Linked DNA regions of Arabidopsis thaliana. The protein of the gene in region 1 interacts with the protein of each later gene in a pairwise test. Each region holds a gene or a part of one and is shown in the gene's direction. Other genes may lie near its edges.

What was found.
Region 2: the proteins of DYT1 (region 1) and AT2G31210 interact in a two-hybrid assay, tested with the Arabidopsis thaliana proteins (one study listed by BioGRID).

Annotation. Positions count from the first base shown.
Region 1 is NC_003075.7:11,344,799-11,354,783, forward strand, and holds DYT1 (basic helix-loop-helix (bHLH) DNA-binding superfamily protein), read left to right. Parts: upstream 1-5,123; coding exon 5,124-5,303; intron 5,304-5,377; coding exon 5,378-5,575; intron 5,576-5,650; coding exon 5,651-5,896; downstream 5,897-9,985. Other genes in the region: AT4G21323 (Subtilase family protein), read left to right, coding at 1-177, 260-834; B70 (basic helix-loop-helix (bHLH) DNA-binding superfamily protein), read left to right, coding at 8,266-8,516, 8,612-8,831, 8,920-9,018, 9,154-9,219, 9,355-9,420, 9,518-9,574, 9,684-9,830. UniProt on the Arabidopsis thaliana protein: Transcription factor. Involved in the control of tapetum development. Required for male fertility and pollen differentiation, especially during callose deposition.
Region 2 is NC_003071.7:13,289,795-13,300,584, forward strand, and holds AT2G31210 (basic helix-loop-helix (bHLH) DNA-binding superfamily protein), read left to right. Parts: upstream 1-6,348; 5' UTR 6,349-6,587; intron 6,588-6,831; 5' UTR 6,832-6,860; coding exon 6,861-7,586; intron 7,587-7,681; coding exon 7,682-8,140; intron 8,141-8,243; coding exon 8,244-8,345; 3' UTR 8,346-8,483; downstream 8,484-10,790. Other genes in the region: RUS2 (root UVB sensitive protein (Protein of unknown function, DUF647)), read right to left, coding at 1,664-2,089, 2,180-2,302, 2,399-2,578, 2,742-2,839, 2,922-3,015, 3,106-3,165, 3,287-3,371, 3,473-3,561 and 2 more; ADF6 (actin depolymerizing factor 6), read left to right, coding at 4,377-4,400, 4,649-4,914, 5,004-5,154; AT2G31215 (basic helix-loop-helix (bHLH) DNA-binding superfamily protein), read left to right, coding at 10,013-10,165, 10,272-10,508.

The DNA of each region.
Region 1 (9,985 bases):
CAGCTCCGGGTTTGACCTTGCTAACACCTAGAATACCAACAGACGAAGACACCAGAGAATTCGTTTACTCAGGAACATCAATGGCAACTCCGGTTATTGCAGGAATCGTAGCACTCCTCAAGATATCGCATCCTAATTGGTCTCCTGCTGTAATCAAATCAGCTCTTGTCACAACAGGTTTGGTTTAATTTATGTCTCTCTAAAACTCTTTTCTCAATAAGAACACTGCATTTAAAACGTAAAACTCTATGTCTTTCAGCAATGAAAACTGATCCATACGGCGAGCGTCTGACTGTAGATGGAGGGAACTATAAGGTAGCCGATGCATTCGATTACGGAGGAGGTCTTGTGAATCTGGAGAAAGCCACAGATCCCGGTCTTGTATACGACATGGACATCAATGATTACACACATTACTTATGTTCTCAAACTCTTTACACAGACAAGAAGGTTTCTGCTCTAACCGGAAACGTCAATAACAAGTGCCCGAGCTCAAGTTCATCGATTCTTGACCTCAATGTACCGTCCATTACAATCCCAGACCTCAAGGGAACAGTCAATGTGACCCGAACTGTGACCAACGTTGGACGTGTCAAATCGGTTTATAAGCCTGTGATAGAGGCTCCATTCGGATTCAATGTCGTGGTTTCGCCAAAGAAGTTGAAGTTTAACAAAACAAGAAACAAGCTTGCTTTTACGGTAACTGTGTCTCCAGGCTCACATAGAGTGAACACTGCGTTTTACTTTGGGAGTTTGACTTGGAGTGATAAAGTTCACAATGTCACAATTCCAATCTCTCTAAGGACACGTTTCATCGATAATTTTTTCCTGTAAATCTGTAATTTGTTTAAACCCCGATGATTAACAAGTTCATGTTTTCTCGGCATTCATGTATTTACTCTCCAGTTAGTGGATCCGCGCTATGAATTTTTTTCTAACAATTATTGTTGCTAATATTGTCCCTCACAAGATATATAGACTTTAGTTCAATATGTAATTCACCGTTTTACTATTTCTGCATGCTTTTGAATCGTGTAACAGTAGCACATGATTAATGCATTAAAATGAATTTTGTTAATTGAAAACGTGATTTGTAAACAGAATCCAAACTTGGCCGAATATGGAAAAGAATAAAAATGGCTAAATAAAAACAGCGAATTGATGAAATAGGTAAAATTGAAGAAGGTTACTGCGAATTGATGAAGAAGCATCGAATTCCAGAAAAGACACGAAAGAGATTACTGCAAATGTTGCTAATTCGTCTTCGTCGTCGATCATCATTAACCTAAGCTTCTCTATTTCCTCTCTATCTTTTTTCTCTATTTTCCTTTTTGTTATTGAAATAATTGCGAACGTAACCTAAATTTCGAGGTATCTAATTTGAGATCTTGTTAATAGTTCGAAATTAAACCCTAATTTTGTTGTTGCTAGCTCCTTCTACTCATTCAAATTTGATTTCTTAGAAGAAAAAAATTGATCTTTTTTTGTTCTTCTAATCTATCGGTATGTCATTGTAATCTTATATCCCATAAATAGATTTTACAAATGCAAGTAAATAAAGTAACGGGAGATGAAATTTTTGGTTAAGAGCTGTTTTCAGTAACAGCCCCAAAATTAGCAGGAAGAAGGACATGTTGTAAAACTGATAATAAAACTGTCTTCTGTCAAAAATGGATTTTGTCTCGTTTAAATCTATTTGGACATTTGTTTTTTTTCGTTGGATTATTTTAATTGTTGTTTGTGATTATTGTCTATTGTGAGCAACTAACTACCTGCTAAGCTGTTCATGTCTATTTGTTGTTCTGTAAGTTTTTTCAACACCATAAAATCCAAACTTTAAGGCTTAAACCAAGGAGGAAAACAAAAAACAATTCTTCCCAAAGAATATTGGGAATTGTGAAGGGAAGGTCCAGAGCTGGTCTCTTTATTGGATTCTTGTTCATTGTAAATGTTGGGTTTTGTGTGTTTGCTCAAGAAAGCAGCAATGAGGAGAGAAAGGTCTGTTTAAATGGTTTCTGTCTTTGTTCTTATGTTTCGACCTTGTTGTGTTATGTTTGCTCAAAATTGTGACTGATAGATGAAACGTGTTTTGTTTTGTTTCTGATTGTGGTAGATATATGTAGTGCATTTAGGCGTGAGGCGACATGATGATTCTGAGTTGGTCTCTGAATCACACCAGAGGATGTTGGAATCGGTTTTCGAAAGGTATATGACAAAAACCGAGTTCTTGATTTCGCTTTTCTGATGATGATGTCTCATGTTTTTCGAGCTAATGATTTTGTATTGATGATGAAGCGCGGAAGCTGCTCGAGAGTCCATCGTCTACAACTACCACCATGGATTTTCCGGGTTTGCAGCCAGGCTTACTGACTCACAAGCTAAGCAACTTTCAGGTTTGTTTTTTAGTATATCAACCAAGTAAATTAAGAGCCCTTGTGAAGCCTTGTTATACACATCTTCTGACACATTTTCTGGTTTTTCTATGGGTTTGTTTCATGTTTATATCCAGACCGTCCTGATGTTTTCAGTGTCGCACCAAATCGAAAAGTTGAGTTGCAGAGCACGAGGATTTATGATTATTTGGGTCTTTCGCCGAGTTTTCCCTCAGGAGTTCTCCATGAGAGCAACATGGGAAGTGATCTTGTCATTGGTTTTCTTGACTCAGGAGTATGGCCAGAGTCTCCGGCTTATAATGACGAAGGGCTTGAACCAATACCGAAACATTGGAAAGGGAAGTGTGTAGCCGGAGAGGATTTTGACCCAGCAAAGCATTGCAACAAGAAGTTAGTAGGAGCAAAGTACTTCACTGATGGCTTTGATGAGAACAATTCTGGAATCAGCGAGGAGGACTTTATGTCCCCTAGAGGTTATAGAGGACATGGGACGATGGTCTCTTCAATTGCAGCCTCTTCATTTGTGCCTAACGTGTCATATGGTGGCCTTGCACCTGGTGTCATGAGAGGCGCTGCTCCAAAGGCTCGTATAGCTATGTACAAAATTGTCTGGGATAGAGCACTTTTGATGTCATCCACTGCGACTATGGTCAAGGCATTTGATGAGGCCATAAACGATGGCGTTGATGTATTGTCGATTTCTCTCGCCTCTGCGGCTCCTTTTCGCCCAATTGACTCTATTACGGGAGATTTGGAGCTTGGATCATTCCATGCGGTGATGAAGGGCATTCCGGTTATAGCTGGTGCCTCTAATACAGGCCCCGAAGCTTACACTGTGGCTAATGTATTCCCATGGATGCTCACAGTCGCTGCAACTAACATAGACCGTACCTTTTATGCAGACATGACTTTTGGAAATAACATTACCATAATTGTATGTGAAATGTTTTTTCAGGTCTTTTCACCATCGGGTTTCACTAGTCTTGGAAACTTACTCTTTTCCCTTAAAAACTGTTTCAGGGTCAAGCTCAATATACAGGTAAGGAAGTATCTGCTGGTTTAGTTTACATTGAACACTATAAAACCGACACCTCTAGCATGCTGGGAAAAGTTGTCCTGACGTTTGTGAAAGAAGATTGGGAAATGGCAAGCGCATTGGCGACTACAACTATCAACAAGGCGGCGGGGCTGATCGTGGCACGAAGTGGTGATTATCAAAGTGATATTGTCTATAATCAACCATTCATCTACGTAGACTATGAAGTCGGAGCTAAGATTCTACGATACATCCGCTCGTCAAGGTATACTATCCTTTATTTTATATTTTTTGTGATTGATCATCCTTCCGAGTCACATAGAGTATGTAAAACTGATCATCTTCTTATGGCTTGCGGTCTCTTCAGTTCTCCCACGATTAAAATTAGTACTGGTAAAACGCTCGTAGGACGTCCTATTGCGACTCAAGTTTGCGGATTCTCATCTAGAGGGCCTAATGGACTCTCTCCTGCCATTCTCAAGGTTCTTTCCCTAAACAGTGTTTCAAAATCTTGTCTGTCGTTTCCAATTTAAGGATCACCTGTTAATGATGGAAATTTCTTTGGGTTTATAAATGATGCAGCCTGATATAGCAGCCCCTGGTGTGACGATTTTAGGAGCTACATCTCAAGCCTACCCCGATTCTTTCGGCGGTTATTTTCTAGGCACAGGGACATCCTATGCCACTCCCGTTGTTGCGGGGCTCGTCGTACTACTCAAAGCTTTACACCCTGACTGGTCTCCTGCTGCGCTAAAATCTGCTATTATGACTACAGGTTCTTGAAAATGGAAAACCACTTTCTTCTCCTCACCAGAAAACCACCATTCGTTAATTTAATCTTACCAGAGTTTCTTCTCTTGTTATTATAGCATGGAAGACTGATCCATCCGGGGAACCAATCTTTGCGGAGGGAGAACCACGGAAACTGGCTGATCCATTTGACTACGGTGCAGGACTCGTGAACGCGGAAAGAGCCAAAGATCCAGGACTAGTTTATGACATGAACATCGACGATTACATTCACTATTTCTGCGCCACTGGTTACAACGATACATCAATCACTATAATCACGGGAAAACCCACAAAATGCTCGTCTCCATTACCGTCTATCCTCGATCTTAACTATCCCGCCATCACGATTCCCGACCTTGAAGAAGAAGTGACCGTCACAAGAACGGTGACTAACGTTGGACCTGTGGACTCAGTTTACAGAGCCGTGGTCGAGCCTCCGCGAGGTGTGGAGATTGTTGTTGAACCAGAGACTCTAGTGTTCTGTTCGAACACGAAGAAACTTGGGTTTAAAGTTAGGGTTTCGTCGAGTCATAAGAGTAACACTGGTTTTTTCTTTGGTAGTTTCACTTGGACTGATGGGACTCGAAATGTTACCATTCCTTTGTCTGTAAGGATTCGTGTTTTGAACCCTTGAATAAGAAGATTCCTCAATTCGTCATAAATTGTTTTTTCTCTCTATAATGAAAACAAAAATTGTTATTTTAGTCTCTGTATTTGACTCTAACTGAAATCACATTCACTTAATAACAAACTGAGACTAAGATTCTCTCTTTTATTCTCTCTCCACTAACAGACTTCTATCTACATGAGAAGCAACTATATAACTCATGTCTTTTACCACCATTACATAAATAAGAATATAAACACTTTTGTCTGAAAAATTATCAAAGAAGAAGAAATAAATGGGTGGAGGAAGCAGATTTCAAGAACCAGTGAGGATGAGCCGTAGGAAACAAGTAACAAAAGAGAAGGAAGAAGATGAAAACTTCAAATCTCCAAATCTTGAAGCAGAGAGACGTAGAAGAGAGAAGCTTCATTGTCGGCTTATGGCTCTGCGATCTCATGTCCCCATTGTCACCAACGTAAGTCCCAAATCTCGATTATTATTTTATGGGTATTTTGGTGATGATTGTTGTTGTTTTTGTTTCGTTTTCAGATGACTAAAGCAAGTATTGTTGAAGATGCGATTACTTACATAGGAGAGCTTCAAAACAATGTTAAGAATCTCTTAGAGACATTTCATGAAATGGAAGAAGCTCCTCCTGAGATTGATGAAGAACAAACGGATCCAATGATAAAACCTGAAGTTGAAACTAGTGATCTTAACGAAGAGATGAAGAAACTCGGAATCGAGGTTTTTAAAATTTCTCTAATCGATTTTTGATTCATTTTCTTTATCTTTCTTGATGATTTTTTATTTTTGGGACAGGAGAATGTGCAATTGTGTAAGATTGGGGAGAGGAAGTTTTGGTTAAAGATCATAACAGAGAAGAGAGATGGGATCTTTACTAAATTCATGGAGGTTATGAGATTTCTCGGATTCGAGATTATCGATATTAGTCTAACAACTTCAAATGGAGCAATTCTTATTAGTGCCTCTGTTCAGACACAGGAACTCTGTGATGTTGAACAGACAAAAGATTTTCTTTTGGAAGTTATGAGAAGCAATCCATAAGTATTAATTATATACATCTTGGAAATTTCTTGATCTAATAACATTTCCATTGGTTTTTATTACATTGTTGTTCCATTTTAAATATGATATGATTCAGATGAAAAAGAGTTTGTGTTACAAGCCAATGAGCTTCTTCTTGTCTTCATATATGTTGCTGCAAAATGTTCATGATCCTCTGTTTGAGGTCAAAGAAAGAAAACACTAGATATTATCTCTAGGATCCGAGCAATGGGGGTTTCTTTTTAAAATGGGCTTAGAATGAATTAGCTCTTAAATGGGCCATTCTCAAGTTGAGCCCATTTAATTTCAACCATCCAAATGGTGAGTAGTGAATAGTGATGTTCATTTGTGTAAGGTTGGAAGTTGGTAGAAACCTAAGTTTTTTTATTCAAATATCAAAACTATTCAATAGAGCCAAAATCAAAAGACATTTTCCTAACCTATTAACTATTTTTTTATAAAAATAATAATATACCTTTATCATCTCTGACTTTCCCTACTCCACGACATATTTGATTAACAATATAAAATAATTTATAGTTTCCACTCTCAATGAAATAAAACGATGGACCGTTTCCTCATGTCAAATGAATCAAATCAACAATCTCTATATAGTCTTAAGAATGTTGGTCTTAAAATTCTATTGAACTCAAATCGTATGAAAACAAGTTAAATTGTATATAAACAGAAAAACCAGTGAAGGTTGATTAATTAATAATTTACTTGGTTAAATTCTTCTTATTGAAGTTGGTGTACTGTAACCTAAGTCACTCGAAGTCTACAAATATTTAATATATCTATTGACTAAAAATATTAAAATAATTTGCTGAGTCAAACCATATGACATGAGCACATATTTTGGGAATCTTTCTAAATTTAAAGATCAAACCTAAAATAACCCAAATGGATTGGAGGGGACGGTCTGACTTAATCCATTTATACATTTATACAGTTGTTTGTTAGTGATTATATCCGAATATCAACAATTCATTTTAATAAATTTCAGAAAGTAAAAATATATATTTTAATCATGTCCATTACAAAACAAAAATTATAATTAAAGAAAGTCTTCATTCTTTGGTGAATGCATATATGGTATACGTCTTATTAACTACTTCTTTTCAAATAGTTGTATTAATTTATATTTTCTGTTCAATTAGGGAAAAAAAACTTATTTCGATAACTCTCTTTTTGTTGTCATATCCATATATAAAGCACAATGAAACTCAATTAAGTGTAATCCTAATTCCTATAAGTTATGATATCATTTGGAGAGGCTTGAAGCAAAACCAATAAGCTATTTTCTCCAAAGAGCAAGATTGATCTAAATCCATATATTTCAAAAAAAATTTGTTTACAATGTAAATCCATATTTGTTTGAAGTTTTTACATTTTTTTTTAAAGAGTCGACACGTAGGTCAGATATGCGCACGTAACTGTGTACAAACAAAAGACGTCCGGAGTCGTATAGATCAAAACGAGGCCAGCCAACAACTACCCTTTTGCGATGGATTTGGTAACGCTGACTTTCTTTTCCTTGTACGTATTCATCGACCATCCCAAAAATGAGATTATTTTTTGGACGACAAACATATTCTTTCTATATTGACATATATAACTGTGACGTCATTTTTGTTTTTAATTATTTGAATCAGTAAACCCCCAAAACAGTAGTTAATAAATATGCATTGCTATACAAATATACAATTTGCAAGTAAAATAAATACCATATCCGTACGATGACTTAATTAAAAATATATTCACATTATTTGTTTAACTAAAATTTTATTACTTTTTTCCCCTTGACAAGTTAATACTTCAACTGCGTTCAACACATAAAAATAAATAAATAAATATATATACTTCAACATATATCAAACATTTTAGTATTACCATCCCATATCAAAGAGTAAGAAAAGTAGTAATTATGATGATAGTAAGAAATTAACTCTGTTTTACAATGTTTGAGAAGATAGGGTCACAACTCACAAACTCACATGTACATCAAAGTTTTTATTTGATTAACCAAAATCAAAACTAAACTTTACATTGTACGTACGTTGGTAAAAAAAATTTGTCATCTTTTAATTACTTAATTTGCTTGACCTAACTTCCTATCGACTACTCTGATAAACATACATTATCTAAATAATTAATAGATTAATTAGGGAAGTACCAATAACATATAAAACTCTTGTACAAAACTTTTTTTTAACAAATATTATAACTTTGTTAGTTGACTTAAACCTCATCGCTACATATAAATACAATCCCCATCATCAACATCATTACTGTCTCATGCAAACTCTGACACTTACGAAGAAATAAGTCTACACAAACTAAACCATTGTCTACGTAACCAACAAAACATGACAGAAGAATTCGACACTACGGGAGTTTGTACCGGAACATGGTGGAGCTCCTCCAACGGCATGTTCTCAGGCTGTTCTCTGCCACGTTCCGCGGAGATTGTTGTCGATTTTGGTGAGATTGAATGGCAAAACATTGATACCCTTGATGCCAAAACTTACAACGAGAACTACCTTAGTACTTCCACATTCTTAGGCAATGCAAATCTTGATACCACATCACAAATCTACGTTTCGAGTCCATCTAACATGTAAGTCCATTTATCATCTTACGTGACGTATAACGTAAAATCATGATCTTTGTTCCTGAATCCTGACATTCTTTTTCTTTTCTCTTTTTTACCAGCCATGAAGAAGAACGATACAATCAGATAAATAGTTTTCTAGAAGGATTGTTTGATTCTAGTGAGCAATTATTGGTTCCTAACTGTCCCAAACCAGAACTATTCGAAAGCTTTCACTTCTTTGATGACGTTTTCCCGAACGAATCAAGAATGATATCAGTATTTGATCACCAAAAACCCAAGGAAGACATGCAAGCTTGCAAGAGTCTGACTACATGCAAGGTGGGCAAATCTATTTAATTAGTTTCTTTTAATAGAGATATTTTACAATATTTCTGTAGATTTTGACATTGTGACCAATTATTTTTAGAGAGCAAGTGAGAAAAGTGGAGAACTCGAAGATATTGAGTCATCACAGCCATTAAAAAGGCCAAGACTTGAGACACCATCTCATTTTCCGAGCTTCAAAGTTAGTAACAAATGATCTTACTACAGTTTTCAAGGATTGTCATTTATCACTAAAAAAAGTTAGTTATGCTAAGAAACACATACCCATGCACAAACTATTGCTGATATTTTTCCAAAAACTATTTTGATTGATAAGGTTCGTAAAGAGAAACTCGGAGATCGAATTACCGCGCTTCAACAGTTAGTTTCACCCTTTGGCAAGGTTTGTGTTCATCATGAATTCATGATCTGTTATATTGATATCTCTACTATATATTATCCATACATAATTACGAAATTTTTTTAGCTACTTCTGTTTTCAAATTTATTTATTATTATTTTGTGATGATTTTTACAGACAGACACTGCTTCTGTCCTCCATGATGCTATAGATTACATCAAGTTTCTACAAGAACAAATCACTGTAAGTTGATAATCTCTCAAATATGAAATACTACTACTAATTAATTGTTGGTTTTAGTTAACTGTTATATTTATTCTTTTTATAATCATTTAAATAGGAAAAGGTCTCTACTAGTCCACACCTGAACTCTATAGGATCTGGTGAACAGAAGCAGGTACTTAACTTAGTTAACGGTTAAACAACTCTATAATCTAAAATCAATTAAGTAGTTTGATTTTTGTTCTTTTGCTTATGATCATTAATAAGATTCTTTCAATTTCTAGTGGTCAGACAAATCAAGCAATAATACTCATAATCAAAATTGTAGTCCAAGACAAGATCTTCGAAGCCGCGGTCTTTGTCTGATGCCGATCTCAAGTACTTTCTCCACTCCTCCGCAGCATTTGGACACATCTAGTTTGTGGAATTAGACTCTTATACTGAATCAAAAATGTAACATTAGTACATTACACATGAAAACTCATAGATTAGTTTTGTTCTAAGAACTGTAAAGTCTGGTGTTAATTTGTGTATAAAATGTGATGTCTCGTTCCATTACTTCCTACAAATTTAGAGCCTACTTCGT
Region 2 (10,790 bases), on another chromosome or scaffold:
CTTGATACTACATCTGAATTGTTTTGGTCATATGAATCTTTAATTTCGAAAGAGTATTTATAATTTTACTTTGTAAATACAAATTTAAATTTATTAAATTACCGGTGAGTTAGTAATTAAAATAAAATAGACAACCAGATTATTTTGAAACACGTCAATTATTCATAGTGTCATACCGTAAAAAAAAAACAGAAATGTCTTTCTTACGGTATATGTCATTACGTAAGATAATTACAACCATGAGATCGTAAAATGTATGAAATTGTCGTCAATTGATATTTAGTGATATGGTTCTTGGCTTCTTTCAATTGCACACCTTCACTCACCATTACAACATTTACTTTTGAGTTAAACTATTCGTTTGTCTCTGTCAAAAGCAACTTTTGTATACTGTTTCAAATTAAACGTATTTAGACCAAGATTACAACGTTTTAAAAAGAATAGACTAAAACAAAACGAAGATCGTCGATATCTAATTCCATCATTACCAAGATCTTGCCCTTTTTCACAATTTTTTTTTTCTCTTTCCGTTTTCTTTTTGGGGTTTCATTTTCTAATACAACGAGGGTTATCTTCTCTTACAACACTACTCCAATATAATTGTGGAGTTCCCATGTTTTTAATGCAAGTGTTTTGTTTGATAATTGATAAATTCAAATGGATCGTGACCTAACGAAATCTAGATATTTGTGGGTCCATTCAACTACTAACTTTGTCGCTTCTTTTTGTAATTTTCCAAGGGTCGGCTGATTTGCATTATTGATTATACATGCATGTCAAAAGTAAAGAAGCCTTAAACATTTCACTAGTTAATATTTAAAAAGGTGTTACTTATCTTCTTCAATCAGATCCAACTAGCTATCCCTAAAATAAAATGTCTCAACTAAATTTTGAAATCTGTATAAGAATAACAAAGTAAACATTTTCATCACTTAACAAATTGCTAAATAATCATGAAAGGTTGAAATGTTAATTTTAATACATTAATGACATTTTTATTTTCTGTAGTTTTTTTTATTTATTAACAACATGCATAATGATAATTTGAAATTAAGTTTGGTCTAAGTCTAACCAAACCTGAAACACAACTTAACCAACAAAATCTTTTACCTCCTCTCATGCTCTATCAGAATCTTACTAGTTATGTGTCCAGTAGGCAGTAGCATTGGCTAACCCTCGTATAAGGTAGTTCTGATAATTGCATTTATCAAATATTATATGTAACAACATGCAACAAAAGTGATATATTTGGGACATTTTCACTGATCAAAATATCCCAAAATGAAGACTAAGGAAGGGTCCAGGTCTAAGGAAAAATAGAGCCCGTACACAAGATTTGACCAAGAGAACTATTTTAACTTTAAATAAATATATATATATATATATATCCATAAAAAGCATTAATCAGATTCCATTTTGATTGATATATATGATAAAATATGTAAACTTACAATGGCAAAACAAAAGTACAAACGAGGACAAGAACCGTACCTTCAAACTTTTGTTTCACCTAACAATCTCACTCTAATCTAATCCATCTAAGTCTTCAAAGTACTAGATTGTGGATTCATGATCTGGATAAAGACTTCTTACGCCTACAAATTCGTGTTTATACTTGAAACAATAAAAAATTACAATAGCAAAATTACTCGAAACTCGGGAGCTACCAAGCAAATCTTGTCCCCGTGCCATCGAGAAATCTATCAGTATACCATCCTTTAGCTTGCACTTGAGATAAAAATGGATTGAAGACATCGTTCATTTTGTCATACGCGTCTTGCAATATAATGTCATCAGGGTCATTATATATCTTTGTCATTGACTTGACATATGCTGCAACTAACCACCCTCGCAATGCATCTTCACCGGTTGCATCGTGCTCTAAGACCATATCGGTCCATGACTTTCCATGACTCAATAGAAACTTCTCTTCTACAAACACTTGTTTTAGTCTTTGTACCTCAGAAGGCTTCACAGCTTTATGGAGAGCCCTTCCCACTTTTACATTTCCTGCGTCTTGGATTGGTCTCTCGGGGAACATTAGGTCTTCTTGGAATCTTAAATCAGGAGGGCTTGGGACTTTACCAGTCTGAGAAGATACAACAACACCTCTTATGTAATTAAAAGAAATCAACAAGATGGTTTACAGAAAAATTGAACAAAAGATGATGCTAATTACCTTGAGAAAATTAGCCACAATCAAAGCGGTTCGCTGTGGATTCAGTGTGTTGATTGGTACCCCTCGCATTTGTTCTACAACGCTATACACATGTACAACCGAAAGAATTGACCCAACCACCAACTGCAGATATCAGCCTTTTCATAATAGAGTTGCAATCCAAACAAATAGAAACTGCATTTTGAAATAGAGAGTAACGATGTAGCAGAATGACATTACCTTTCCCTCCATTGATGAACATATTGTGGACGCAAGTTGAATACCAGCACCTATCCCGGCAACATTGAAAAGAGTAGAGATAGCTTCTCCTTTTGCAAAAATGTCACTAAGATTTCCTTCTTTGGCAAAAGATGAATATATTGGTAATCTTGTTGCCCTTGCTGCAACTGTAGCCATTCCCTATTTAAAACAAACAATGCCAGAAAAGTATGAAAAACAGGAAACCAGTGAAGCTGATTGATGTATAAAAGGATGGTCTTTAGAAAGCTAATATATCTCATAGGTCTCCTATTGAAGCTGCTGAGGAAAGCAGGCACAGATGTTCTAAGAAAGATATCTATACCTTAGCAAAATTCCCCAGACCAGCCATTTCAAGAAACAGATGCGGGCATAATGGAGAAACGAGTTCCAGACCAGTACCAAGATCGTAAAGCACGTCAGCTGAAAATTATGAATCAATACTTTTTATAGTTAACGCTATAAAGACATCAGCAGAAACATGTAGCTACAGAATGGTGCATACCCAGAATCCTCCACCGTTTAGGCTCAGAGTCCATTCTTGCACCCAAATTGCTACATATTAGCTTTCCGACATGTTGCATCCCATCCTTCAATATCTACAGAACCAATAGAGTAAACAAAACTTTCACTTACGGACAGGGACTGAACAAGCAAACGAACAAACAAACTGAAGTGGTTTAACATACCCAGCTAACAACAGTTGCTTGTGCCGGTGTAGGCCGCAAGCCTGCAGCAAACAACAGTGACTGCAAAGGAATGATACAAAAAAAAGTTATGTGTCCATGTGAAAACCTCCATTACAACAGCTCAAGTAAACAAATGCAATTTTCCCAAAATCAATAATCAAAGCTGAATCATGAAGAAGACCTGAGTCGATAACACTGATAATGCTGCACTAGAGAAATGCTGAAGTGCTCGAAACTGTGTGTACCTAAGATATCCTTCGTTGACACTATAGAGAAGAAGTAAAGAAAGAAACTTGGTTAAAACACATGCTTTAAGGCTAAAGCCTAGAGACTCTCTAAAAACAAAAGTTCCAAACTTTGAGTTCACCTGTATGGATAACCAGAAGGAAAGAACTTGTTAAGGAAAGATTCAACCATCTTCTGAGGAACAGGTCTTGCATCATCAACAACTTTCATCTAAAACGTGATAATTCACATAATGATTCTACAAGTTGAGAGCAATGGCATAAGAGAGACAAGAACGAGGGAGAGGGAGATTTACAGAGAGGTGGCCGTCGGATTGGAACTGATAACGGTGAGAGACAGAATCAGAGGTTTCGAACCAGTAAACCGGAAAGTCTTCAGGGCTCTTCAACATTACTGGGTCTTCCTTCTTTATCAACTTCACCTTCTCCTGCTTCGTTCCCCAAGTTACAAAGTCATTCACTATAGTTTGGAGAATCATAAAATGAGATTAAAAATACAATAGAATAAAGATTGTGAAATCCTACAAGAAACTGCATCTCTGAGACACGATGGCACAGTCAGGTTCCGAACGTTAAGAGTCGCCGGAGTTGGAGTGAACCACCACAACAGTAATCGCCTAGAGCCGTCTAAAAACAAAATCAAAGAGATTATCTTAACAACGACGTCGTTTCTTCGTTCCTTTTCTACTTCTGAGGCCCAAATGATTTTTGTTACTATTCACTAATGGGCTTAATTAAGGCCCAATATTGATAGATACGCGGCGACTAGTTAAGGGGCAACAAATATGGCCCACTTAAAAAGAAACACGACTTTTCTTATCGCGTTGTTCTAACGCCACCGACCGAACACTTCTTTTTCTTCTGCAATAAACCAAAAAAAGTTAAAAATTCAAAAACTTAATTACTAAGCAAAAGTGTGCACGAAGAACAAAGCGACGCATCCGATTTTATTTGTTTGATAAGTTCGTGTCGTCTTCGTCTCTCTAACCCAATTCTGTGGTGTCTGAAGAAAGCAGAATCAAATCCATGTCTTTCAGAGGACTTAGCAGGGTAAAATTACAAAAAAAAACTTTTCTCTTCTTGCTTAAAATCGATGTACTCTTGTCTATGTCGCAAGCATCTTCAATGTTAAAAATTTGATTTTTATGAAGTCGATGTTAAAAAAAACTAAACCCATCTCCATTTTTACTCTTATTGAGGGTTTAAGATCACTAGATGAAGTCAATTCGATGAATTTTGGATTAAAAATCGAATCTTTTGGTATGGTTTTGATATGTGTTTTGGTTTTATATCTGTAGCCAAATGCAATATCTGGAATGGGTGTTGCAGATGAGAGCAAAACCACATTTCTAGAGCTTCAAAGGAAAAAAACTCATCGCTATGTGGTCTTCAAGATTGATGAATCCAAAAAAGAAGTTGTTGTTGAGAAAACTGGAAATCCTACAGAGAGCTACGATGATTTCTTAGCTTCACTTCCTGATAATGACTGCAGATACGCTGTTTATGACTTTGATTTCGTTACTTCTGAGAATTGTCAAAAGAGCAAAATCTTCTTCTTTGCTTGGTTAGTTTGATTTTTACCATTAGTAAGTCTATAAGGGTTTTGATGTGTTGAGACTAAAACATTTTGATTTGGGACTACTGATGTTGTAGGTCTCCTTCGACCTCTGGAATTCGAGCCAAGGTGCTTTACTCGACTTCTAAAGACCAGTTAAGTAGGGAGCTTCAAGGGATTCACTATGAGATTCAAGCTACTGATCCTACTGAGGTTGATCTTGAAGTGTTACGCGAACGAGCGAACTGAGAGCAAGCAAGATTGCTATGTCTATTCAAAACTTATGGTAATGTAATGAATAATTCGTATTCTCTGTGGATTGATTTGTGTAAACACAGTTTCATGTTCTATGTCAAACTGTATAACCTCTGGTGTTTCAGATTGCACAACCTAAAGCTTAGGTAAACTGAATATGGTTTAAGATCGTAAAAGGTTGATATATTAGTAATGTTAAGAGGGAGAAGAAACTTCTCTTTAGTAGATAACGAGAATGTTGATGAGCATGATGAGAGAGTTCTTAAACTAGTCTAGCAAATTCTGTATAAGCTCTTGTTGTAGCCATCTTGAATTCGAGTCTAATCCTTGCGAACAATATAGAAAGTGGTAGTGTGTAAAGTTTCCCTCATCATTTGTGGTTTCTTTTTCTCACTTTCTTCGGTGTAGTAAAATTTAAGTTGTATGTATAATAGTTCTATCATATACCTGCTTTCTAAAACAAAACAAAAAAAACCTCTTTCTTGTTTCCGCATATCCCCTTCCGATTCCATTGAGAGCAAAACCATTTTATGAGGTTGTATACTTAACCTACCATTCCTAATTCCTAATTGCTTAACTGTTACCAAACTGTGATGTCAAAAAGAAAAATGTTACCAAACTGGAGTCAAAATGACATAAATACCCTTGACCATTTGAGAAAAAATGTAAGGAATTAGGAGGTTGCAAGTGGGGTCCATTGCCGTTGTGGCCAAAAGCGAGATTGCATGACCCAACTGAAATCTCAATTAGGAAGGAGATTGCATTATTTTTATATGTTTATTTATCATATCTCATATTAAGGTCCATTTCCTTCAGTCTATTATCATCATGTATCCACTATTTGTTTGACATTGGGGAACATTTTAGAATAAGAAGTGGAACTGGAAAGTAAAATATATCTATTAGTTCCAACATATTTCATTAGTTTTAATTTTTCTTGCTCCAAACTCTAGTAGTTTATAAATACACGGCTTGAATTACGTTTAAAAGAAAATAACTAAACTTTCTAATAATTCTCCAAATATTAGAACATGTCTTAGTAAAGAATTAAAGCTTTGTTTGTGTCAGAAATTAAAGGTTGGAACCATTTTGTTCTCATTCATAAAAGGGAGAAGAAAAAAAAGAAAAGAAAAATTGTTTCCTCTGTCTTGAAGTATTTAGTAGAGAGCTGTCCAAAACAATACAAACACGTCCAAAAAACCCTCTCCTATGGGAACAAGAAAGACCCAAAAGACACAAACACACACCCAAACTCCATCAAACAGAAATAAAGCAAACCAAAAAAGCTTCTCTCTTTTTTCCTACATTTGATTTAAGCTCTAAATGTTGAAATGATCTTTGATTTGACATTGTGAAGCTGAAATATAGCTGGTGGTAACCTTCAAAGACGACAAAGAAGGAAAAAGATCATCATCTTCTAACTTTTGGTAATTAGATAATTTCATTCTCTAAACAAAGTCTGATTTTTGAATCAATACTAAAAAAGTGATAGAAGAGAAGCTATCAAAACACAAAAACAGAGGATTTTTCTTTTCCAATCTAAAAGAAAGGTGCTTAAGGGAATTAGTTTGAGATTAGGTTTTAACTGAGTTTATACAAACTTTCTTTATTTAATGAAATTAACTTAGATTGGCTTTTGTCTTAAAGATTAATTATGGTTGTGAAAATTAGTTTTGGTTGCAGAAAAAAATCAGTTGAAAATGTATGAGGAAAGTTCATGTTTTGATCCTAATTCGATGGTGGACAACAACGGCGGCTTCTGTGCGGCGGAAACAACTTTTACGGTAAGCCACCAGTTTCAACCACCGCTTGGAAGCACAACAAACAGCTTTGATGACGATCTTAAGCTCCCAACAATGGATGAGTTCTCTGTTTTCCCTTCTGTTATCTCTCTCCCAAACTCAGAAACTCAGAACCAAAACATCAGCAACAACAACCATTTGATCAACCAAATGATTCAAGAATCGAATTGGGGTGTTTCTGAAGACAACTCTAATTTCTTCATGAACACTTCACATCCAAACACAACAACAACTCCAATCCCTGATCTTCTCAGCCTCTTGCATTTGCCTAGATGCTCTATGTCATTACCAAGCTCTGATATAATGGCGGGTTCTTGCTTCACGTATGACCCGCTCTTTCACTTAAACCTTCCTCCACAACCTCCATTGATCCCTTCTAATGACTACTCAGGGTACTTGCTTGGTATTGATACCAATACTACTACTCAAAGAGATGAGTCTAATGTTGGAGATGAAAATAACAATGCTCAGTTTGATAGCGGAATCATCGAGTTTAGCAAAGAGATTAGGCGTAAAGGAAGAGGGAAGCGAAAGAACAAACCTTTTACTACAGAACGTGAGCGAAGATGTCACTTGAATGAGCGGTACGAGGCCTTGAAATTGCTCATTCCTAGCCCGAGTAAGGTTAGTTATTTACTTATGACAACAATCTTTCTTGGTTTAGCTTCATTCATTATCTCCAATGGCACTTTGCTTAATTCATATTATATGTTATTTAGGGAGATAGAGCATCAATTCTTCAAGATGGAATCGATTACATCAACGAGTTACGCAGAAGAGTAAGTGAGCTTAAGTATTTGGTAGAGAGGAAGAGATGTGGTGGGAGACACAAGAACAATGAAGTAGACGACAACAATAACAACAAAAACTTGGATGATCATGGTAATGAAGATGATGATGATGATGATGAAAACATGGAGAAGAAGCCGGAGAGCGATGTAATAGACCAATGTTCAAGCAACAACTCGCTGAGATGTTCATGGCTGCAGAGGAAATCAAAAGTAACAGAAGTTGATGTTAGGATTGTTGATGATGAAGTAACAATCAAAGTTGTTCAGAAGAAGAAGATCAATTGTTTGTTACTTGTCTCCAAAGTACTTGATCAGCTTCAGCTTGATCTTCACCATGTTGCCGGAGGACAGATTGGTGAGCATTACAGTTTCTTGTTCAACACCAAGGTTAGTGATCAATGAATATATATATATATATAACAAATCTTGGTTTATGGATTTTGATATATACTGGATTTAGTTTTGGTAATAATGATTGAATAAATTGCAGATATATGAAGGATCAACAATATATGCAAGTGCAATAGCAAACAGAGTGATTGAAGTTGTGGATAAACACTACATGGCTTCTCTTCCCAACAGTAACTATTAATTGTTAGGCTAACTTCATCTATTTTCTAACGTTTTTTAATCCATGTAATTTTTACTCATTTGCAAAACTAAATAAAAACTCATTTTGGATGATTTGGATGTTTAGTTTCTAACAAGATATGTATGATTTGGATCCCTCAAATGAGCCAAAGAGCCTACAAATTAGAAGACCTAAAGGAATGAACATATTACTCAACATCATAAGTTCATCATTTCTATGTTAGATTTGTTATCTTTTCGTTAAGCTCCGAGTTTTTTCTATATTCTCCAAATATCTGGAGGCAACTTTTAGACGATTATCTTTGGAATGTCCCTCTTTCTAACTGCAATCCGAACTAGGCATATCTCTTTTTCAATGTTCTTGTATATGTTCTCTTTAAAAAATTAAAAACCAGTGGCAGAGGCAATTGTAAGGGAATGGGGTCAACTGACCCAACAAAAATAAATAATTAAAAAAAAAAAGAAATTGTAAGATTGACCCCACTGAAAATTTTATATTGACCCCTATAAATTTGACTTATGTTTTACTTCAAAAAAAACCCTAAAACCCCACATTTTTTCTAGAAACCTTATAAAATTTGGGTTTACAGATTAAGATTAAACACATTCGCTTACTAAATACATTTTCATGTTTTTCTTTTATTAAAAATTTGACCCAATAAAAATTCGTCCTACCTCGGCCAGTGAAAGAAGCCATTAAACCAAGAAACACTTGGTATTTCTTTGTTAAAATTGATACAACCATCGTTATGGTTCCAAAGTTTGTATGACTAGGTAGGTTGGGAACAATAGCAACTACTTCTGTACTTGTGTACGAGAGAAGTAGGTGACAAGAAAATTTTCAGTTTCTATAAAGTTACGAGAGTATCCATAAATCATCACGTTACAAAAAAAAATAAAAAATAAAAAATAATTAAATATGAAATTATATTTTCACATTTTTGGATGAGGGACCTACCTCTTCATCTTCTTTCATACTGCTATAAACATATATGGCATGATCTAACCGCAACATAAAACTTATAATATTTTTCTAGCGTTTGTTGATATTATTAAGAGAGAGACAAATAGATATGTTTCTCAATTTATTTTCTTCAAAACAGTTAACGTCGAAATTTGGACATTCTGAATCATCGCTTCTACGAGTGTGATGCACATAGATAAATGAGGTTAAAACGAAGTGATATCATGAATGATTATTGGGGATGAAGTAGTAATTGTCAATTTATTAACAAATAATGAAAACTTTATATGTAGGAAACTATCTACCCAAATCCCTCATCTTCGATCTGTTTGTTGTTTGTGTAATCCAGTCGAAGAGTTATTCAATTGTAAAGATAATATAGGGTATAATTTCATAATTTTTTCAGCAAAAGCACAACTTTATTAAGCTAAAAAATAGACATAAAATATGTTTAACAACATCTATTTAAGACATTACTGTGAAATAGGTTAGAAACATAGTGCTAATTAAGTCAAGTCAACATTTTGTGTCCTAAAAAAATAAAATAATAAATTTGTGTCCTAAGTGAAAAAAAAATAGAAAATTTTAATTCCATCTGCAAATCTCCTTATATTCAATCAAAATACAGAGAGGGAGAGACTTGTTAAAGAAACTTTGTTTCTTCTCTTGAAATTGATAATCTTCTAGAGTATTGAACCATCTTCATGGAACGTTACACAAAAAAAAACGAGAGGTTCAAGGCAGAGGAAGGAAAAGGATCAAAGAAGTCGAGAACTTTCCTTACAGAACGCGAAAGACGAGCTCTCTTCAATGACCGTTTCTTCGACTTAAAGAACCTCATTCCAAATCCCACAAAGGTTAGATATATATTTTTATGTTTAATCTTTCATTCTTTTTCGTCTGTTTAATCTTTCATTCATTCTCTCCAATATCTCTTGATCAATACACATGCTCTATTACTAGGGAGGTGAAGCATCCATTGTTCAAGATGGGATCGTTTACATCAACGAGTTACAAAGACTAGTTAGCGAGCTTAAGTATTTGGTTGAGAAGAAAAAATGCGGTGCAAGGCACAACAACATTGAAGTAGACAATAAAAACACGATTTATGGGACTAGCAAGATAGAGCATCCATTCTCCAAAAACAAAAACACTTTTAACTGTTTGATTCGTACACTTAGATTTGTACACCACTTTTAGTGTACATATATATATAAAAATACACAACGTACACTTTACATTTGTACACTAAAAGTGTTGTACAATCCAAGTGTACGAATCAAATAGTGAAAAGTGACTACTTTGCAAATTATGAATAGTAAAGTGACTACTTTTCCAATTAAGTTTGAAAAAGTGACTAGTTTGCCAACACACCCAACTTTCTTTAGAGCTGAAAATGTCAAGACAATGTTATATAAGAAAGATGAATGCACTTTGATTACGGAGAAAGAAAAGAAGGAATGATTCAAAGAAAAGAAGCAG